Oreochromis niloticus: one gene and its partner. The protein of the gene in region 1 interacts with the protein of each later gene in a pairwise test. Links are inferred from orthologs where the notes say so. Each region holds a gene or a part of one and is shown in the gene's direction. Other genes may lie near its edges.

What was found.
Region 2: the proteins of nrip1b (region 1) and rorb interact in a two-hybrid assay, tested with the Homo sapiens proteins (2 studies listed by BioGRID). The link is inferred for Oreochromis niloticus from reciprocal best matches to the Homo sapiens genes NRIP1 and RORB.

The regions. Positions count from the first base shown.
Region 1 is NC_031975.2:3,167,219-3,177,419, forward strand, and holds the start of nrip1b (nuclear receptor-interacting protein 1), read left to right. Parts: upstream 1-5,661; 5' UTR 5,662-5,998; intron 5,999-10,201. UniProt on the Homo sapiens protein: Modulates transcriptional activation by steroid receptors such as NR3C1, NR3C2 and ESR1. Also modulates transcriptional repression by nuclear hormone receptors.
Region 2 is NC_031977.2:12,081,237-12,091,552, reverse strand, and holds the start of rorb (nuclear receptor ROR-beta), read left to right. Parts: upstream 1-5,572; 5' UTR 5,573-5,939; coding exon 5,940-5,946; intron 5,947-10,316. UniProt on the Homo sapiens protein: Nuclear receptor that binds DNA as a monomer to ROR response elements (RORE) containing a single core motif half-site 5'-AGGTCA-3' preceded by a short A-T-rich sequence.

The DNA.
Region 1 (10,201 bases):
TTATTTTTTAAGCTGTACCGTTTTCCAGTGTCGATACATTTTGTCATCCTTTTTGTCCTTGTGTATTAGTTTTTATGTAGTCATCTTCTTACAGAATAAATGGTACAAAAAAAATATATCAGTCAACGAAATTAACGCAGGTTTTTATGGGGAATTGACTTTTTGCCTCTAGTGGCCATTTCAGGAACTGCAGTTTTGGCATCACACCTGAACGCTCAGGTTCCTGCTTGTTCCAAACCTACAGTGATATCAGTGATAGATGTTTGAAGCATGACTGTATCTGATCACCGCTCTGTTATACTTTATTGTTTAATAAGTGAAAAGTGCATTTCACATACACAGTAATGAAAGGTTATGTGCCTTTTTGTCCTCCATAATTTTTGATGTTGTTGTTTTGTTTTGTTTTTAAATTCTACATCCATTAGTTGAGACCAGCTCGTGCTTTATTATGCCACATTCATAACATGACATTCCCTTGTAAATTGCAGGCTGTGGCACATAAAGCTTTAATATTTTCTTTGTTTGTTTTGTTGACCTCGTTCATTCAAGCAGAACAGTTAAGCAATCCAAATACGCCTCATGTGTCTGTGTGCAGGCAGGTTTTGCTGTCTCATATGGTTTTAGTAAAACCTCCCCTGCAGCTGTATACGTGGGGAATGTCACAACCATTTCATACGCATTCCAGTTCAAAGGTTACAGTATGGTGTGACTTCCAGCGGGCCCTCCCACCGCAGCTCGCACCTGCCTCCTCCCCGAGAGGGCTTTAGCTCACTCCAAACCTCGGGAGATACTGCAGCTGAAATTGGGGAGTAGAGGTCGAAGGTGGAGGGTTAATGTCTGCTGACTCTCCACCTCCCGCCTTCTGAGACAATCGGGCGTCTGACTCTAAACTCTCCTCTGATTGTACTGCAGGGCCGGGAGGACGCCGCTGCAGAGCTGACCCTTGGCCGTGGATTCATATGTTTTCCATCTCTGTTTTCCCTTTACCTTGAAATATGCACTGGGATACAGTTTAAATGTATGGGAAACCAATTCCAAAGGGTCCTGCGGGGTCAGATTACTTCATTTCTGAAGAGATGAACAAATCAAATCTGCATATCCCATCCAAAGATTTGAATGATAATCTGCCCCAGTGACCACTCAGTGAACTCATGCAGACTGACAAAAGATGAGTCACAGATGAACCATCTACACTACCGGATTTTAAGAACGTAGTGCAAAGCTTTGGAATATATGTTTGCCAAATGAGATCGTCTTTTTCACTAATTACTGCCAAGTATTTGCTTGTTTAATTAGAGAAACAGCCTTCTAGAAGAGGCCGTGGTTATGGCACAAAAAAAAAGTCTGAAATCGGAAAAGTTTTCACTTTTATTGCTTCCTACAGTTGAATATTTAAATAATATCGTATTTCAAAATGACAGCTCAGCACTTTTGAACACACTAAAGAAGACACCACGTTAACGAGACAATAAAGTCAGTCTTGTAAAACAGCAACTTCCATTTCCTAATGTCTTTCAAACACTTGGTAAGCTTCCTCTTTTTTTTAAAGCTTTTGCCATTTTCTGCACTTCTATTTTCCTCACACAGCTGCAACCAGTCCGTGAGTATCTGTAACCAACCTTCACCACACAATGTGTTAAATCCCATACATAAATAACATCAAGACAAACTGTTTTCACATGAGGACCTCAGACTTTTTCTTTTTTTTCTTCTTCGTCAGTCACAATCTGTCCCTGTAATTCAGGGTCAAAGGACAGAGTTTCCTGAAACCCATTTCTGTGAAAAGCTTCAGGGGCAAAGTTCAGCGGGTGCTGCTCGGCATGGAGGGGGAGGGGGAGGGAATGAAAGGGAGGATATTGTATCTCCATTTATGTGGCATTCGGGGTCAGAGTTCAAAGATGAAAGGTCACTCCAGTTCAGAGGTTACAAGGTACAAGATACCGTCCAGATTGCCGAGCGGAGCCTGCTCATCCAACTTTTGACGTCTCAACGCAATCGCGATCCTGAGCGGCACTCGTGGCGCAATCAGACAGCAACAATAAAAACAGCAGCAACATCAACTTTTTATGAATAGCACTTTGGCGAGGACTTTGCTCAGACTTTTAACTGCTGCTGTACTCAAAATGCAAATTGCAGGTAACACCTATTGTGAACAACAGCCTTGTAAAAGAAAACTATCCAATTTACCTGACTGACATGTTGAGTGCCGCCTCTGTTTATACTACTGGCAATGAACTGAATTACTGTTTAAACACCACAGTGGGGTTACCGCAGGTTAGAAGGCACAGTATCCAGCTGGCTGAATACAAGTGGCCAATAACACAGCATGATGTGATAACACAGCAGTGGGAGGAGGAGGAGGAGCAACACCCCCCAAACACACACACACACACAAACACACACACACACACATACACACATACATCCTTCTCTCTCGCTCACATTCTCACACACACACACTGCCCCCCCCAAACCTGGATTTGAAAAGGGGAAATAGAGACAGGGATGGCTGGAAGTAGGTTATGTTGTTGTGTTCTCATTCACCAGAACACTAATGTTCCCCAGGTCCTTAGAGACATTTTGTTCAAGGCCATGTTGAGTTGACAGACTGCAGGCCAGTGGACCAGATAGCACAGATTAGCACAAGATGACACAAAGAAAAGAGGGGGTTATTTGGAAGCATAAGGTGCGCAATCATTGGTTTAGATTTACAATGTTTACAATCATGACGAGCGAGAAACATTTTAAAAGTTTCCATGAGCGCATCTTCTGCTCGGCGAATGGCACCCTGCTTCACAGTCAAGTGACACACCTGGGAGACATCTCAGCATCATATCCAAAGGTGCTGTGATGCCATTTATGTTGTTCTTTTCCCCACTTGGTCACTGTGAGGCAGACAGTACAGCTCCAGCACTATGACAGTCTCATATGGAGCAACCTAATGATTTGTTTAGGGATGCTCACAACAAGGTTATTTAGGGCACTTCTTACTTAATCCTCCATCCAACTGAAGGGCTATAATTGAACCTGCTTTAGATGGCTAGATTAAGAAATGTTAGTCTTTTAGATTTACTGTAGTCTGCCTGTGAACGTGGACTGTTTCTGTTAACTCATCTAAGGGGAAGAGCAATTTTTATTCCAAAGCAAAATGTGAATGGTGGATTATCTTTTACTACAATGCTATTTTTAAGGAAAATTTAAAAAAGCACTTCCTTAAAGGGGAAATTCACCAATTTAGTGTTGCACTTTGACAAAGTAAGGAGACTTGAAGTACTTGCTTTCAGGCTCATACATTTCCTGTACTGCTAATTTCTCTCAATACATTTTAACCAGACTTCTTTGGCCACTTAAGTGTTCCAGGCATGAGCATCCAGGCTTTATGTTCTAATCTTTCTCATTTTTCCCCTTTTTCTTTTTTTGTTTTTTAACTCTTTCCCCCGCATGTCAATTCTGGCATTGCCATATTACATATGCACTTATGTGAATAACAATAGAAAATAATAAATGAGAAAGAAAATAAAATGTGGCACTCCTGGTTACAAAGAAACCAGTTTTTGTGCAGTAAAGCATAAAAGTCCCTCTTTAAGAATTTTTTTTAAATTATTATTATTGTCATTTTAAAGGACCTTTTGGAGGTTGTTATATATAGGTAAACCAGCTGCTGTTACAATTACAACTGCAACTGTTACCACTGTGGTTAATGTTAATGTAGCATTTGTTACTACAAGCATGATTCTGTCAACCCTTTGGAACAACTTATATTGATAGTATTAAATAATTAGATTACAAATTATACATCCAAATACAGTTAAATAAAACAAAGGCTTTAAGAAGGTAACACAGGCTCATGCCAAATACTGAACAAGTGGCAACCCTGAGGACTACAAAGTGAAGCCAGTGCCAAAAACTGCAGTTCTTCTAGTGACCACATGGGGCTGGCTCCAATAGTGAACCAATAGACTCCCATATTAAAATGTCCACTTTTGCAACATTAAGAAAACATTTTTTTAAACTTTATAATATGTTTAAAATATCAGGTTTAGGCTTAAATTTAGGGGCCTGGGATGTGCCACTATAAGCAGCTATTACCTGCACTTGTGTGAATTATTGAACTCGACCTCTCAGCCATATTTGCACCATGTTGGTGCCTTATGGAACATTTTTAATTGAATTATCAGGCGAATAATATGTTGTGCTGCATGGTACTGGCCGTCCACAAAGTTATTGTTATTGAAATTCTAGTGTATTAGTCTGAAACCATCAACCACCAAATCAAAAGTCAAGTTTGCGAGCTAGCTAATAACATCACTCCACCGCTTTGTCCAAGAAGGGTCACTTCAAAACGGACATGGCTGAAATGCTAACACTGAGGGTTCAATATGTAGAATCCAGTTAATATACTTGGACTAGGGTAAGGCTAGCAAGCAGCATTCATAAATTGTATGGGTGCAACAACACATACATTTATGTGCTTATTAGCCCTAAGTCACAGGCTAACAAAAGCCAACAGTGGACTTGAGATGTCGTGTTCAGTGACTTCAGTTAGTGAAGGTGAGGCCTTGCAGAAAGGCCCCACCTGTTAAAGAAAGCACCCTCACCCCTAATGCTAAGCTACAGAAAAAAGATCAAGAAAAAAATCTCCCAGCATAATAGTTACAATGGTGAACGCTATCTGCAGAGGCCAACCTGGAAAAATGGTGATTTTTATTGTAAAGTTTTAATAAGGATGTTAAACTGGGAATTGAGGCAGCCTCAAGTGGCCATTTGAGGAATTACACTCTCTATTTATATAGACATGCTGTAATAAAAAAAAAGTGAAGCAAAAATAATAATAAAAAGAATGAATCTGAGAATGGTCGCTCACTCTGTGGGCAATATTCACTTTTAAGAGAAAAGAGCTGTATTTTGTATGTAAGCATTATGTAGCAGCAGGTAATGGATAACAGGTATTGATTATTATATAACATTTTACTACAGTATGTTTCTAACTAACCAGGCAGCTCATTCTCTTTCTTTTGACAGTTCTTTCGTTAAAGTTAGAACACATTTTGGTTCAGCTTGAAGAAAAGCAGGTGTGAAATGTAAAAATGAGATCAGAGGTCAAACGTGACATGATATTTGGATGCAAGCTATAATGTGATATTTAGAATCTCCATATACCGGTATCATTTCTTATTTGTTGCCAATACAAACACGGGCAGTAGGTTTTAAAGAAAACAGGCATTTTATGAAAGTTTTCAGCCAACAAATTGTTAACTTGACCTCGAAGACCTTTGTGGATGTTGGTGGAAATTTTGGATTATTAACATGACCCCACTCCACACACCTACAAAGTTTTATCAGCATTTATTCATAACTTTTTGAACATTCTTTTTTAAAGTAAGACAGAATGAGACGTAACCAAAAAGATCCCCTCCTTGGTAGGTCATTTTAGCCCAGCTCATTCTTAATAATTTAAATGATTAAATAATAATCTGCTAATTAAGCATTTCGATTGTATGTCCCTTGGTGTGAGACAAACCGTAGGCGGTGTATATGACTTAGTTTAATATGGAAAAAAACAGCGTTAAGACCATTTGCTGTACATCTAATGTTAAAAAGCGCTTCCTTCTTGGCAGAGGGAGTATGTGGGCAGCGGCGAAGGCTTGTTCCTTTAAGGGTGGTGTCAGCGGCAGGCGGAGGAGGAGGAGTGTAGCTGTCTGCGCTCACTTCTCCACAGCGAGGGGACTCCGAGAATAAACAATTTCCACAGAATACGCGCTCCACACCTCGGCTCGCTCACAGGCGCAGCATTAATTTGTAGAATTAAAAAATCATATCAAATCAAAACGAGGCTTATTAGAAATTATTTCGGACTTGATTTTTTCCTCCCTCGAAGCCTGCCTCGCCATTTCTGCTTCCTGCCAAAAGTGTCGCGACCGTTTTCATTGGATTTGCCTCCTCCTGTCGAATGATAACGATGCGCCTCTCCGGCTGACTGTGGGGTGGACGAACGCAGGTAAGGGAATCTGTACACGAGCGCACTGTCACGTCTGGACAATGTTATTATTATACTGCTGCGGGTGGAAACGTACACGGGTGCGCGTATGTCGGGCAGTGGTTAGATCGTGCGCTTTTTTTCTCTGTGTGTGTGTGTGTGTGTGTATGTGTGTGTTTGTGTCGGGGATCGGTAACGCTGTTCGTGTGTCGCACGGCGGCCAGGGGCGCTTATGGATGTGTCGCTGAAATCGCTGCATAAAGAAGCGGGGGATAAACCTGCCCGTGTGGCTTTCCATTTAGCCGCACAGCCGCTCAGTGACGGTAGCCAGTGCCCGTATCCTTCGGATCAGTGGCTCAAATTAGGCCCACGATAGAGGCATTTCTCTATAAATGTTTCTCCCCATTCACGCACACACCGCCTCTGAATCTCCTGAAACCCTCCTGCTAATTTTCACAGTGTATTCTGGGCTGTCAGTCTGCTTGGCAGCACGAACACCGAATGACTAATGTCACCCGTTGGCTTAATTTAATAACAGTGCGCACCGTCTTCTGCTTGGAGCACGGCAGCTGTAATGTAACGTTAGTACAGTTAATGTAGTTCATCACGTCGGGTCAAAACACTGCACAGCCCCCCATCTTGTAGTTTTAGCACCACCAAAGGGAAACGCTTCACAGTTGCACCGGTGTGTAGATTACAGTTGGCAAGTCTTAAGGGATTTTTAATGGCCCTCCGAGCGTAAAGGGTCTTATAGTTGACTCATATGTGATTGTTTCAAGGTGTTAAAAGCCACCTGTGTCCACTGGGTGTAAAAATGAATTTGGGTTGAATATTCATTGAGAAAGACTTTGCATGTGTCACTGCAGTAGCACTCAGGGGAAAGCAGGGACAGTGACACTAACCCCTGAGCATGTACAGTAAACACAGTGTAGGCGAAGGTTGTTAAAAATGTTGCAAAGCAGTGTTGCTACAACAACTTTATTACACAGTCAGAATCAAGGTAATGCTTTTTTTAATGCACTCAAAAAGGTGCGCACTTGATGTGTGGCTTAGTTGGTGATTCCCATTAATACTCGTTGTTTTTTTGCTTGTTACTTACACCACCTCTGAAAATGTTGAATACCTTTACCCTCCCCAGGGTCCTTTGATAGAGATTAGTCTAGTCTGCAGACTAAAACACCCATCATTTCAAGTTGGTCTGTTGCAGCCTGTCACATCACCTGGCCGTCATGTCAGATGTGTTTTGATAGATCTCAAAGGCTTGGATGTTTTCTCGGCGAGAGTTTCTGAGTGGCCTTTATGTAGGTGTTCCTTTTTTTCACAAATATCTTATTGCTTCATTGGACTTTGGATCCGTGTGGAGGCAAAAGGTCAGGGGCTGAAGTTTTCTGAGAGTTACCGGAAAGAGGGCAGAGTACAAGCTGCAGTTCAGCTTCTGAAATAACCTGTTTGGATGTTGGAATATGAGGCTTTTTAAAAAAGGTTCAGTTAATTTTCTGCCTTCCACATAACTGCTTAGGCTACCAATCTAAAGTAACGCAGAGAAGAGTCAAACTTTCTTAAAGCCTTCTAAATACTGCCTGTGTCTGGGGGTCTGTCTCTTAGCCTCTCTTTTGTTGAACATTTAAGCTGCTTAATTATTTGACCTGAACTTACACAAGATGTTCAAGGTAGTTCAACTTGTCCTCTGTTGCCACAGATAACGTAAAACCTCCACGTTTATAGCCCAACTTTTTAAGTTGTGCTTTGTGAGTGTTTGAGTGTCTGGCCTGCGTGCTGTAATTCAAAGGATCCTCTGTGTTGGACGGGGCTTGATTTGACTCTGCCATCTGCTGTTGTCCCGGGAGCTGCTGTTGAGTGATGTGCAGTAGCCTGCAACAGAACCAGAGGACATTCAAATGGCCAAATGCAAATGATGCCGAGGCTGCTCAACAGTCACAAGACTGGACTCTGAACTCTCTCCTCTCTTGTCCACTGGCTGCCTTTCATTACTGCAGAATCTTATCTGCCATCAAAACACTGCTGCCGCCGCCGCCGCTGCTGCTGCTGCTGTATGAAAGTGGCAAGTTTTGACATGAGAGTGTGTGTGTGTGTGTGTGTGTGTGTGTGTGTGTGTGTGTGTGTGCTCTTGCAGGTGTGTTCTGCACATCTCTTTTGCACATCGTGGAAAACACAAAGTAATTTCAGAATCCCCCTGCTTGTTGCTACTTTGTGACTTTGAATTATGTAAAGGAGAAATCGCTGTAATAAAATGTATTTTTTTTCACAGGATGACTCCACAGAGTACTTGCCCAGCCACTTACCTCTACTAACAGCTTCCCTAACTACTGCCACTGTGCCAGCTCAAACTCTTACTGTTTGGAAATCTGTCATAGACCACAGCACGAGCACAGGGTGGACAGAAATTGAGAGTGGCGTCCGCTTTTTGATTGCTGAGATACTCGGCAGCAAGAAAAAAAAAAAAGAAAAACTAATGTGCAATCTACCAGAACAAGTGTCATGCATTTACTGCAGAGTTTTTGATTTATTATAGACCTGGGAGATGCCCAGCACTTGTGTTGTTGGCCACCGAACATTGTTCAAGGGCACTTTGACAGTAGATGTGAGGAGCAGAAGTGCATTTCTCATCTACTTACAGGCCCGCGCTCTTGTCGGCCCACTGAGGATTCAAAACCAGACACCTTTGGGCCACAAACTCATTTCTCTAATTGTTTGGGCTCCATAATGCCAGCGCGGGGCGTGCATTAAACCAAATCATTTTATTGTTCCATTTATCGTTTGTTTGTTCAGCAGACACTCTTCTAATAACAATGGTCAGAAGTGCTGCTGTAACAGGAAAAAGATTTACACGTGACAGTTGTGCTGTAAATTTCACAGTCAGAATGAAACATTTATCTCTAATTAACAAGACAGAAGTCAGTGTTGTGTTCAATCAACAAGCTGAAATGATCACTTTTCTCTGATTTACTATTAAGTAGTGCTAATCTTCTCTGTCCCCTCTTCCGTACAAATTCTTGCCCAGTGCCTGTGTCACAAATAAAGGTTTGCTCGATACTCCATATTTATACTTTTTCGGTCCTTTCTTGTTATGTTTACCATTTTTTAGAGAAATGCACAAACCTTACCTACACGCCAAACCCCCCCTCCAACCTGTAATCTGTAATGACATTTCTCCTTTTTTTTTTCCTGTCTTGTAATGTGATTATTTTTCATACTAAATTCAAAATCTGAGTAACTACAGCCTGAACCCCCCCCCCCCCCCCCCCCAATTAAAGGCCCAAACTGATATCAGTAAATGCAGTCTTATCTGCTGATAACTTATCGGCCGATATTCAGCTGATCTGTCAGTGCATCCCTGGCTCCGATCGTCTGTCAGTGGCTTTTACATAAGCAAATTTCTTGAAAATGATTGTAATGAGCACTAGGCTAAAATATCAGGGCTTGAGTGACTAATGCATAAATACAGACTGATGGAAACCAACAGTGCTGAATTGAAATAGACATTCAAATTACTACTGGAACACCGCTATTCTAAACCAAGCAGAAATGGGTCACGCAGATAAGCACACATAAAGATGCATGTGTACCGTTTACTGATCGGGGTGTATTTTCAGTGCATCTTCTCCGATTTTTCTCCCCCTAGAATGCCTACACAGTCAGAAAGTGATGTGGAACTACAGAAGTTTGCTGTTGCTTTTGGAAATGACATCACCGTGGGGGCAGTTGTGGTGTCTTCCCACTTAAAAGATTTCTGCTCTCAGTCATAGCGAGCCGCTGTGTCTCATTCAGAGACAGCGCTCCTGCTTCTGTCACGAGCAGAAGGCAGCCAAAGTCAATGAGACTCATTTTGATGACAAAGCAGTAACTGCTAAACGCTGCTTTACAGCCACCGCTCCTGGATGCAGGCTGGAATGACGAAATGTGAGGAAGAAAGATGGACTCCTTCTCTGCAATCCCTGAAAGCTATACTAGCCAGAACTCATCTGTTGAATGATTCGTGCCCCCCTGCACCCACCACCGCCTCCTCCTCCCTTTTGGCTTTCGCCTTCACCTCCAACTCTCCGCCCCTCTGCCTTCACACTTCACCTTGGCCTTGGCTGCAATGACAGGCCCTTCAATTATCTCCCCCAATTGATCGCTGCTGATTGCAGTTGCCGTGAATTATTTAGACTTTGCTGAAATTACTCGCTAATCGAGGACGGAAGGCTGAAAGAGCGAGATACT
Region 2 (10,316 bases), on another chromosome or scaffold:
TGGTTATAAAAGATACATCTGTTTGTTTTGATGAGTGGGATTACTGTAAATCAATCCAGTGATGTCTCATGAGAGCAAGGTAGAAAAAAAAAGCTTCAAATTCACTAAAGCATGACATGTCAGGAGAAAGGGTATGAAATGTGATTATAATGCAACGTCACACACACACACACACACACATATGAAACAGCACACGACGTGATCTTTGATTGTTCTGGATAAGGTGTAATTTGCACACGCTCGCTAAAATCTGACAGGCACACTTTGACTTGGTCCTCTTCAATAAAGACTAATGTCGGGGAGTGTTCCTCTTTAGGCCGACCCGTCTTTCACAAACCATCTGTGAATATTAACTGCAGAGGCTGATTCGGAAAGCTGTTTCTGTATCCTCGGCTGGTTTGTATCATTACATACTGCTTCAGAAAATCAACATAACTATCAAGTAGCCTTGAACATGAAAGCCTCACACAGTCCCCGTTTGCAATTTCCTCCCCATTTCAACGTCAACATTTATTAAGCTCTCCCAGAGAAATCAACGACGACTAAATTATTTTGAGAGAGAGCCTCGGGCTACAGAGGCATATTCGATATGCCTAACGAAAAAAAATATATATTTAAATATATATGTATATTAAGAGGAACAAGGAGAGAGGAGAGAAGGGGGAAATGAGTGACTCAAAGTAAAACTAGATTTAATATCTTAATGGCTTTGTGTGAAAAAAAACAGATAATAGAGAAATCCAATTAAAATCAGATGATTGGCACTGTGAGGTAGAGACATGAAACTGTTTGTCTGAACCACTGGCTCTATATAAAGCTTTGATTAGATGATGCTCGTAATAGTAGCAGCCAGACTAATAGGTTGTATATTTTTAACGCTGATATACCACAGGCTCTGAACACTTAACACAGATATATAACACTAGTATTAAAAGAAAAAAAAAGAGGGAAGCGGGCAAAGTGGCTGAACAGCGGAGTAACTCATTACAGAACGACGTGAGCGTAAAGTTTCAGATTTGCATGAAGACTCAAAATTGTACTGTACCGTATTCAGAGTGTGTGTCTGCAGGAGTGTGTGTGTCTGTGTGCGCAGTGGGTAAGCGTTTCCCCTAATGCCTCTCAAGGTGACTTGGCCTTCCTCCTTCAGGGCTTTCCTTTCAATTCTTTTTGGGATTGAAATTATGATGAAGTAATTTTTCTACAGAAATTGCCTATGTCACTTGTGGTATCTCTCGGCAAATTTCTCAAGTGTATTTTCAGTCTCTCCCTCTCTCTCTGTCCTCTTCTTCCATCTCTCATCTCTCCCTTTTTCTTTGGCTTTCCTTCTCTTTTCTCCGAGCTCTCACTTGACATGTCAATGTGTCAATGTCACATTACACTGAGGAAATATGTGTGAAACAATTTCGTCCACGGGCTAATGGAAAAAAAATGAACAAGCTCTTTATTTTACAGCCTCGCATGACAGTATACATTTACGATCACATAGTGCAGGTGTGTGTGTCTGTGTGAGTCCCTGCAAAGAAGGATATGTTATAATAAAACAAGACACTTAGGAGTGCACTGCTAGTGTAGCTGTGCACACTCACTCAAGCTGCAGACCCACATGCTCATACATGCACATGCAGATATATAGTTTTACAGGGAAAAAAAATCACCTGCTTGTTTCAGGGGAAAATAAGAGGCAGTGTGGAACATGTCGTCAGATTGAGAGGGAGATTCCTCAGAGACCTGTGGCCTAATTTCTTATTTTCAAGAGGAAACTTATCTAATTATATATAAGTTAACTTCCTAGTGGTCGATTCAAGGGCAGCACTGAATGAACAGCCTTAACAGAAAGAAGGATATCACTTCTAGCTCTTTCCTGGCTTGCCGTTTTCTCTCGTGTTTCTCCGCCGGTGTCTTGTTCACACATGATGTGCTCTGTTTTGGTGTCGTTGCGCGTGTGCGTAGACACCGACAACATCACCTCAGCACAGGAGGCAGCTCTGATGATGGTTAACCACTGCGATGCATTTAGTGACATTTTGTGAAGGAAGTATAAAAAGCTTAAGTAGGATTTGCGTGTTACTTTGATGCTGCAGATTGAAAAAGTCAAACAGGAATGAAATCTGCTGCTAAGTGCTCCATGAGGCTGAACTTAAGCGACGTCCTGTGTTAGTTTACCATGTTAGCCCACCAACAGCCTGAACCATGAAATAATTGCCAGAAAATTCACATTTTTTTGAAACTGGAGTGTTAATTGAACCTTCTGACAAATACATTTAAAAAAGAAATTAAATATCAATTGGCATATATGAAACAAAATAAAATATATAAGTGGGTTAGGGTAACAAATCACAACGATGTGTCTCAAACTAATGTATAAAATATGATACTCTTGGCATTACAGGGCTAATATTTGCTAATTAGCACTAAACACAGCTGAGGCTGATGGCAGTGCTATTTGTTTCGAGGGTATCTCTGCTGTAAGCCTTCACGACTGATTGAGGCATAATGCCAGCTTTACTCTGAGGTTATTTCATTGCAGTCCATCTAATAACTATTGAAATATATCTCTAAAAACCACAAATCCTAGCAGAGAAGGATGGGAGTGACAAGCTGAGACATTAAAAGCATAAAAAACAACTGGGTGCAAGCATGAAAGGATAATGACAGACACGATCATCTCAAAACAAATCCACAATCAATCAACCAAGCAGTTCGACCTGACGTCCTTCAAGGCAGGAGGACCATAGATGGATGAACAGACAGACAGAGATGTAGCAACGGGATCTTGCAGCCAACAGAACCAGACAGCGAAACATAAATGGCAGAAGGACCCGAGATCCCATCTCAGAGGAAAGTGCTTCTTTCTCCAAGTTCAGCCCTTAGGCATGGCCCAGTCTGCTCCCTTCCTCCCTCTTTACCACCATATGGGCAGAGCAGCCATTATATCTCATCAAACGCAACCTTTATGTTCTTGTTCACAATTTCTCGCCCGGCAGACGCCGTAGTTTATGTTCATGTTTAAAGTCATTTTTCTGCTATCTCTGTGGCTTTGGGAGGACAGTGAATGGTTGGCAATGAGGGGTAATCCTTCTTAATGGAGTCCCCAGCCCTCAGACGGATTCTAGTCCACACAGCACACAGATCACATAAAGACACATTTTATTGCATTGACAAAATGGGGAGAAACCTTTATTGTATTCTTAAGACACCCCTCACCCCCCGAATCGTTTTTTGGACCCTCCTCTCCCCCGCCCCGTCTATCTTTCTCTATCTCGTCTTGCCCTTATCTCGTTCTCCTGTCTGCCTGTCTTCTAGAGTGTTTCACCCTGACCAGTCTGCGATTTTATCACGCTTGCTTTGGTCATTACATCACAATTATGGAGCTGTTGGTACGGGAGAAATAAGAGATGGAAAAAAAAGAAGAGTGGAAAAAAGCGACGGATGAAATGTAGGTCAGTGGAGATGTGCTTGGGGCAGTTTCTCTCTCTGTTTCTCTGTGTGTGTGTCTCTCCCAGGGCCAGAGCAAAAGAGGCTAAAAGAGACCAGGGGTGAAAGTGCTTCTCTCTCTCACACACACACACACACACACACACACACACACACACCTGCCTCCGTTCCATCTTGCACACACTGACAGAAGCAGCGTTACCTTTTAGAAAACCACTCTGATGGCAGATGCCTATGACTGAGTGTGATGCTAACTGTGACTGACAAGGGTGGCTCTTTTCAGCATTGAGTGGAAAGACACTCACTTCTTTATCATCTTATCATTTTGATTTTTTTTTTTTTTTTGAAGTTTCATTTCATTTCTTCACATTTTGTTAATATTTTATGAAGCACAGCACACCAGAGGTCACCATGAGTCAGTCCAGGGTCAAAGATTAGCTTTGGGAGGGTGGGGGGCAGGTTTTTCCTCTATGAGTTTGAGAGTGTGCTGAGGTTGTAAATCAGCTGGCAAACACTGAAACATAAAAAAGGGAGACAGATGGCTTAATTGTCCCTTTATAGTTGAAAATTCACCAGAAAAGATCATATGTTACCTTAAATGACTTTATAACAAGTTTTTAGAAGCATTATCTCATGTCCTGCTAACACTATTTCACAATTTTTACTGTGTTAAAGCTTTGCCATCTGAAGATAAAGCAACTGACACCAGTGTTTTCTAAGTGTATAAAGCACTGGCTACAATGGCTTTACAAACCAGTCAATCACCTGCTCTATATATTTATTTAATCCATCATTGTGATACTCACGTTTTGATTGTCGTGACTGGGTCGTGAACTTTTGAATTTTCCCTGAAAGTAAAATCCTGCTGGTTAAAAAAAAAAACAACCTTAAATTGTAAGTTTGCATATTTAAAATAATCCTGCAAAATTAGTTAACGCAGTTATCAACATGATTAGAAATTCAGAGCACCTGGCTGGTTTTGATCAGACACGCAGACATTTTAATACCTTGCAGCATACACCTGCTCAGTCAACACACAGTGCAGTGATGGTCACAGAACACAGACCTTCTCTTTCATTGTCCAGTTCAGCATTTCAGTGATTCTCTGAGGAAGGACAGCACCCCACCCTGAAAATCTTCCCCGAGACACCTGAGATGACTACTGTTATTTGAGCTGCACTTCTTTTATTGCATAAGCTATTTTCACCTTTCTATGAGTATTTTGGAGAGAAAAAAAATGTTTTATCGTCGTTTTAAACATAATCACCTTCAATATAACTGATATAAGAATCTTAGCTGTGTTATTTAGTGCAATCACTATGATTCAGTGTGAACATCTGCAGAGGTTGAAGTGACAAAGTATCCTGCTGGGTGCAGTGATCCATGCACATATGCAAAAACTGTTAAAGTTTTAACAATTCAATAAATTAAAAAAAGAAAGAAAGAAAAAAGAAAGGCTTCCATTCAATTGGGACAATGTGTGTGTGTGTGTGTGTGTTCATATTTAAAAATTCTTTTAAACATTTTTTAAAGGAATTTTTTGTGAATGTGGTTTAAACTTAAGTGCAATCATGTTTCTTTATTTTCTGTCATTATCAGGCTAATGCATATCTCTCATTTAGTTGCAAATTGTACTTCTTTTTTTAACTAAATTTAATTTTTTTTAAACTTTTGCTTTGCACACAAAAAGTAATTTTTACTCATAAAATCAACTCTGCAGCCATTTGAAAGGTTCTGCAGAATTATAAGCCTGGACTTGTAGATTACTTTAGTCAACCGATACTGAGAGAGTGTTTTTGTTAGTGCGTGTTTCTATGGATTTTATTAAAGCAGTAAAAACGAAATAGAACCAGGGGATCTATTCTTGCTGGGCAGAATGTTAGATCTCTATAAATACGAGACCAGATCAAAGACTGTTTATGTGTATAGATGAAAACTGCCCTAATCGTATAAGAGTGTTGTAATTGGAAGGTGAGGTTAAAAACTTCGCTGAGACTGCCTGTGTCTCGCACTAAGAGTGGGTTCGGGTTGTGCATGTGTGTGCGCGTGTTTGCGTGTGCAGGTTCCAGGCTGCAGGCTGAGAAGGAGAGAGTGGGAGGAGCGGAAAGTGCTCCAGTCCAATCCGGGCCGCCGGGTAAAGCTCTCCTATACGCTCTTCCCTCCCTCAGCCCGCAGAAAATAGTGAAACCCTCCCATAGAGGTGAGAGCGCAGATATCATGAGAAAAGCGGCCACACAACCAGAGCGCACAGACCGACGCACCGACCGACCTCAGCCCGCCTCCCTGCGCCCCGCTCTGGGATGCTTTTAGCGCAGAGACGCTTCCACTCAGGGCAGCCAGTGGACGTCGACGCACATCATCTACACTCCTTTCGTTGTTGTTTTTAACCGAGGATCTTTCACCACCACCCCCCGCAGCCCCTTCTTTTATTTTAAGTGTTTGTTTCTTCATGACTGCTGCTTTGGGAAGCGAGCCTCAGCACCAGCTCCAGCAACGCCGACACGATGCGAGGTAAGACCATCCCACTGTGCTCGCACTTTCTCCCACTTAACACAGACACACACAGCACTACGAGCTTTTATCACTCGTTTAGCTTTGAAAGTTTATTCTGGGAGGTTTAGGCGAAAATCTGAATTTGTCTCTTTTTTATCCAATGTTAAGCTCAAAGCAGTGTGTCTGGAGTTCTCTGAAATCTCATCAGCCACCTTAAGTAGTCTGTAAAAGTTTATTTGGATCCTTCTCCGTGTGTGTTTTGACTCAGGAGCGTGTGTGTGGAACAGGCCCGCGTTCCTGCAAATTTTACTGGAGTCTGGGATTGGAAATTAAAAGTGCCGCATTATATTTAGCTTAATCATTTGAGCTCCACTCCACACCGGCGGAAATTGCGGATAGGGTGGTAGATCGGATCAGATTAGCCCATGTGCAGAAGAAAAAAACTTTATTCCGTTATGTTCTGGTGGTAAACTTTATTGAATGCTTCAGGGATGTGCACTTTCAAGCGCTCCACTAACCCATTTCCACGACGCTCTGCGCCGCGCTGAGGATGTTGAAATTCATTATCAATGCCGTCCTCTGCACGCTCACGCGCACGCACGCAATAACCAAGACCTGTCTCGCGCACGGTGGTACACAGGGACACGCTCGCGCACAGGTCATTTTGCTCTTAGCCTTTCGCTCGACGTTTAAATTCCGTTAACAGCAGAAAATGCGCGTTTTTCGTTTCTCCTTCATGACTATTTGCAGTTCATCGGTCATTAAAAGTCCAGCGCGAAGGCTTTAATATTTAACCTTATTATTATCAGCTTAGTGTTTTGGAATTCGCTTTATTTACTCTCGACGTTGTGCAATTACCGCTGGCGCTAAAGTTGCAACACTCGTTCAGCTGGATGGTTTGAACTCTAATTTATAAGCCAATCTGTTTTAACTGGCCGGACCGCTTCTTACTGGCCTCAGAAATAAGTTAATTAGTTTATGAGGTGGCCTTTATGATGCCTGAATGTTCCTATATTGGAGGTGAGAAATTATTGGAAAATTTTGATCAAAGGCTACAAAGTCGCCTTCAAAGTAAAGGCATGGCACAGAAATCAACGGCCTGTGCTTTGTCAAATTAAAATGCTGCTTATAGCTTTTAGCTTAAAAATAAAATACTCATTACTGTTTTTTTTACATGGAACAATAATGTTATCATATTTTTCCGCTGTATGTATGTTCTGAAAAGAAGACAGGCCTAATAATCGGTTTAAAATAATTATTAAGCAAACTTGCGTTACCATTATTTTAACCTGATTATTAGTTATGATGATAAATAATGATTTAACCAACAAACCTCTGTAATCGGATTATTTTATTGCAGTTATTACTTGGGGAAAAAAGGTCAAACATCAATCTATTCATGTGTCCATGTCATGTAAAGATGTAAAGCTATCTGCTGCCTCAGCTCCAGCCCATCAAACCTTAGGCAAGAAAACAAAAAAAAGAAAAGACAGGAGAAGGCCAAACATCTTTTCCTCTCACCCTCTGTCTGCAATCCCATGGCAAACTCTTCTGTCACACACCTTGTATTTTATCCACATTTTAATGGGCCTTGCGACTACTCTCGTGCATGGGAGGCTTTGGGGGGGTATACCAAAAGCTCCTGCTTTCACTTTATAGCCATGGTTGGCAGAAGAGGCCCCTGAAGCGTCTCTCTCACCCCTTTTTTACCATGTCTATCTCTCTCTTTCTCCCTCGCTCTCCATCTTCCTCTCTCCCTCTGCACGCCCCAAAGGGTTTTGTCAGATAGAATTAAATCAGTGTGGGCCGTGCGGCCCCCACTCCCAACCTGTGTGTGCGCGCGCGTCTGTGTGTGTGGAGTCTCGGCTGCCCTTGCACAGAAACGTGCTCACAACCACAAGGTTTTAAAAAAATAGAGGCCCCTCATGAGCCGTGGTAATTATCATTTAACAATAGCCACAGCTCCTGAAGCCCTGACCGAAGATGATGTCACGCCATCGCCCGGCCTGGAAAAGCCAGAGAAATAACAGATATAATATAATCATAAGAGGCCTTTTCTGCTTCTCTGAAAACGAAGCTGGCTCAGTGCTGTGTAGGATGTTGTAAACAGGCTCATTATCTCTGTATTTTCAACAGCAATGTGGTGAAGCTCTGCTGTAAGAGGTGTTCCTTTAAAACCCATTAAATGACATTAGAAACAGTGGCAAGTGGACATATATATGTGTTTAAGTGGCAAGTTTTAGTTTTTACGTCTTTATAATAAGACAATAAATGAAATATAATTAACTAATTATGCCCTATTTATTTGGATGAATCGTTTTAGTTATTGTAAATGAATGTTTGATTTTTTAAAGTCATTTTTTGCAGAAATTAGTTTTACCTAAAGAATGTCTGAGCCAATCAACAGCAACCTTCTACCAAATCATTTATCAATGCTATAATCAATATGAGATCAGAGCCCCTCTGTGAGATTAGCATATGCGTGCTTGGAAACATACACAGCATCACACAAGCATGAACTGACATGTATTCTGCAAGTGAGTAGCTTCCTGTGTTACTCAGTGATCCCCACAGTCTACATTATCCCGTGGATGTGTATCCTTTTTATTACTGTTATAAGCCTAAGAGCTTACAAAAGCACCCAGGTCAGGCAGGTCCACAAGTTCAGCGATGGAGGGAGCAACAGTGGAGGAGGGGCTCGCAGGGCCACTTCTCCTCTGTTAGCAGTATGTGCCAATCACCATCTCTCATTCTCCTAACACTGTGGGAAAAGATGGGATGACAGGAAGTGGAAGAGTATGAAAGCACAATAAAGTAGTAAGATAATGGCAGGAGATCCAGAATAATGTGTGGGTGGGAGTGGGGGGGTCATTAAAAATACTTGTCTCAAATCTACAAGAATTAGTGGTCATTTCCATTTCTGGCATTGTTTATGTTACCTTGAAAGGTGGCATGTGCACACATTAAAAATCCGAAGGCTCTGAAAACGCACACTGACACAAACAGCTGCAATACTACGCATGACGGCCTCATGCCAATAGAATTAGTCCCATCCTGCTTTGCTTTAGAGGCTCGTTTGCGAATTGATTTGTCCAGTTCGAAAGCATCCCGGGATCAATTTTTAGTCAAAGACAATGGAAGCAGTCTGTTTAGATAAATCTGTGGCACACAACTGAAATGGCTTTAGTTTACACTGGAGTCTAAACATCTCTATCTTTTTTTTGTTGTATTTTTCATGTTTGTTCCTATGATTTCTTTTGTTATAACAGTAGAAACTATTAAAGAAGCACCTCCACCATTTAGTGCTTTAAGTGTTGTGGTTGTCAGTGTTCAGTGTTTACTGTTGTTTTTCTCCTGTGAGCACAAACAAGCGGAAGGCTGATGTACAAGCACATGGATGACAACACAGGAAGACTCACGTGAATTCATAGAAATTATGCAAAATAATAAACACAGCTGTTCACAGCTACGCTCTGGTTACATTTAACTTCTAGTATTTGTATCACGTCCCATTAAGGGGGATAAAGTAAAAAGTTAAAGATCAGTGGCGCTAAGTTGTGCCTGTGTTTCACTTTCAGTACCAACTATGAGTAAGATCATGGAAAATAAGTTGCCATTATTCGTACTGATTTAGAAACTGAGTCCAAAACTTCAGGTTAATTGACACCAAATCACTGCTTTCCATTGTCGCCATGAAACCTCTTTTTGTGCCCCACACTGGGCACCTGGCCTGGGTGAATCTTTGCTTTGCACTGTTATCACTGCATGTGTGGTCTGTTGTCCAGCTCAGTGTTGTTGATTGTGTTGTTTATTATGTGTTTGTGCTGAGTAATGGTCTAGTGTTATGTAAGAAGAGAGGAGAGATTACCCCAAGCTCATGCAGGCCACACTGTTAATCCCTCAACACAGCCCCACTGACTGAATCGGGTACCGGCACCAGAGTGTTGTTGCGACACACACACACTTACACACACTCATTTTGCATTCAAGACTCACCGTCTACTCCTCACCTAGTGTGTCTTACCTGACCTTTTGATTTTTTTTCAAGCCATCTACTTAAAACATCCCACCATGCTTTGTGCGTGCGTGTGCTGCCTGGATAGCACTTCTGCCGTCCCACTGAGCCACTATCATAGCCTGTGTTTGTTTTGCATGCGCTCAGCATGCACCCAGTGTTGGTTTTATCCCTCCGCGGCCGTCTAGGGGAGCCTAGGCGAACTGTTTTTCCTCCTCAGTCAATTCTCCCTCTTTCTTAAATCTTTCCACACACAAAGCGTGGGCTATACGGCACGCTTCAGTTTGTGTCTCCACTTTATCTTAGCCGGGAGGGATTTCTGCCTGAACCACTCCTAAACTCTAAATCTGCCTTGAAGTCATAGAGTCCTCTG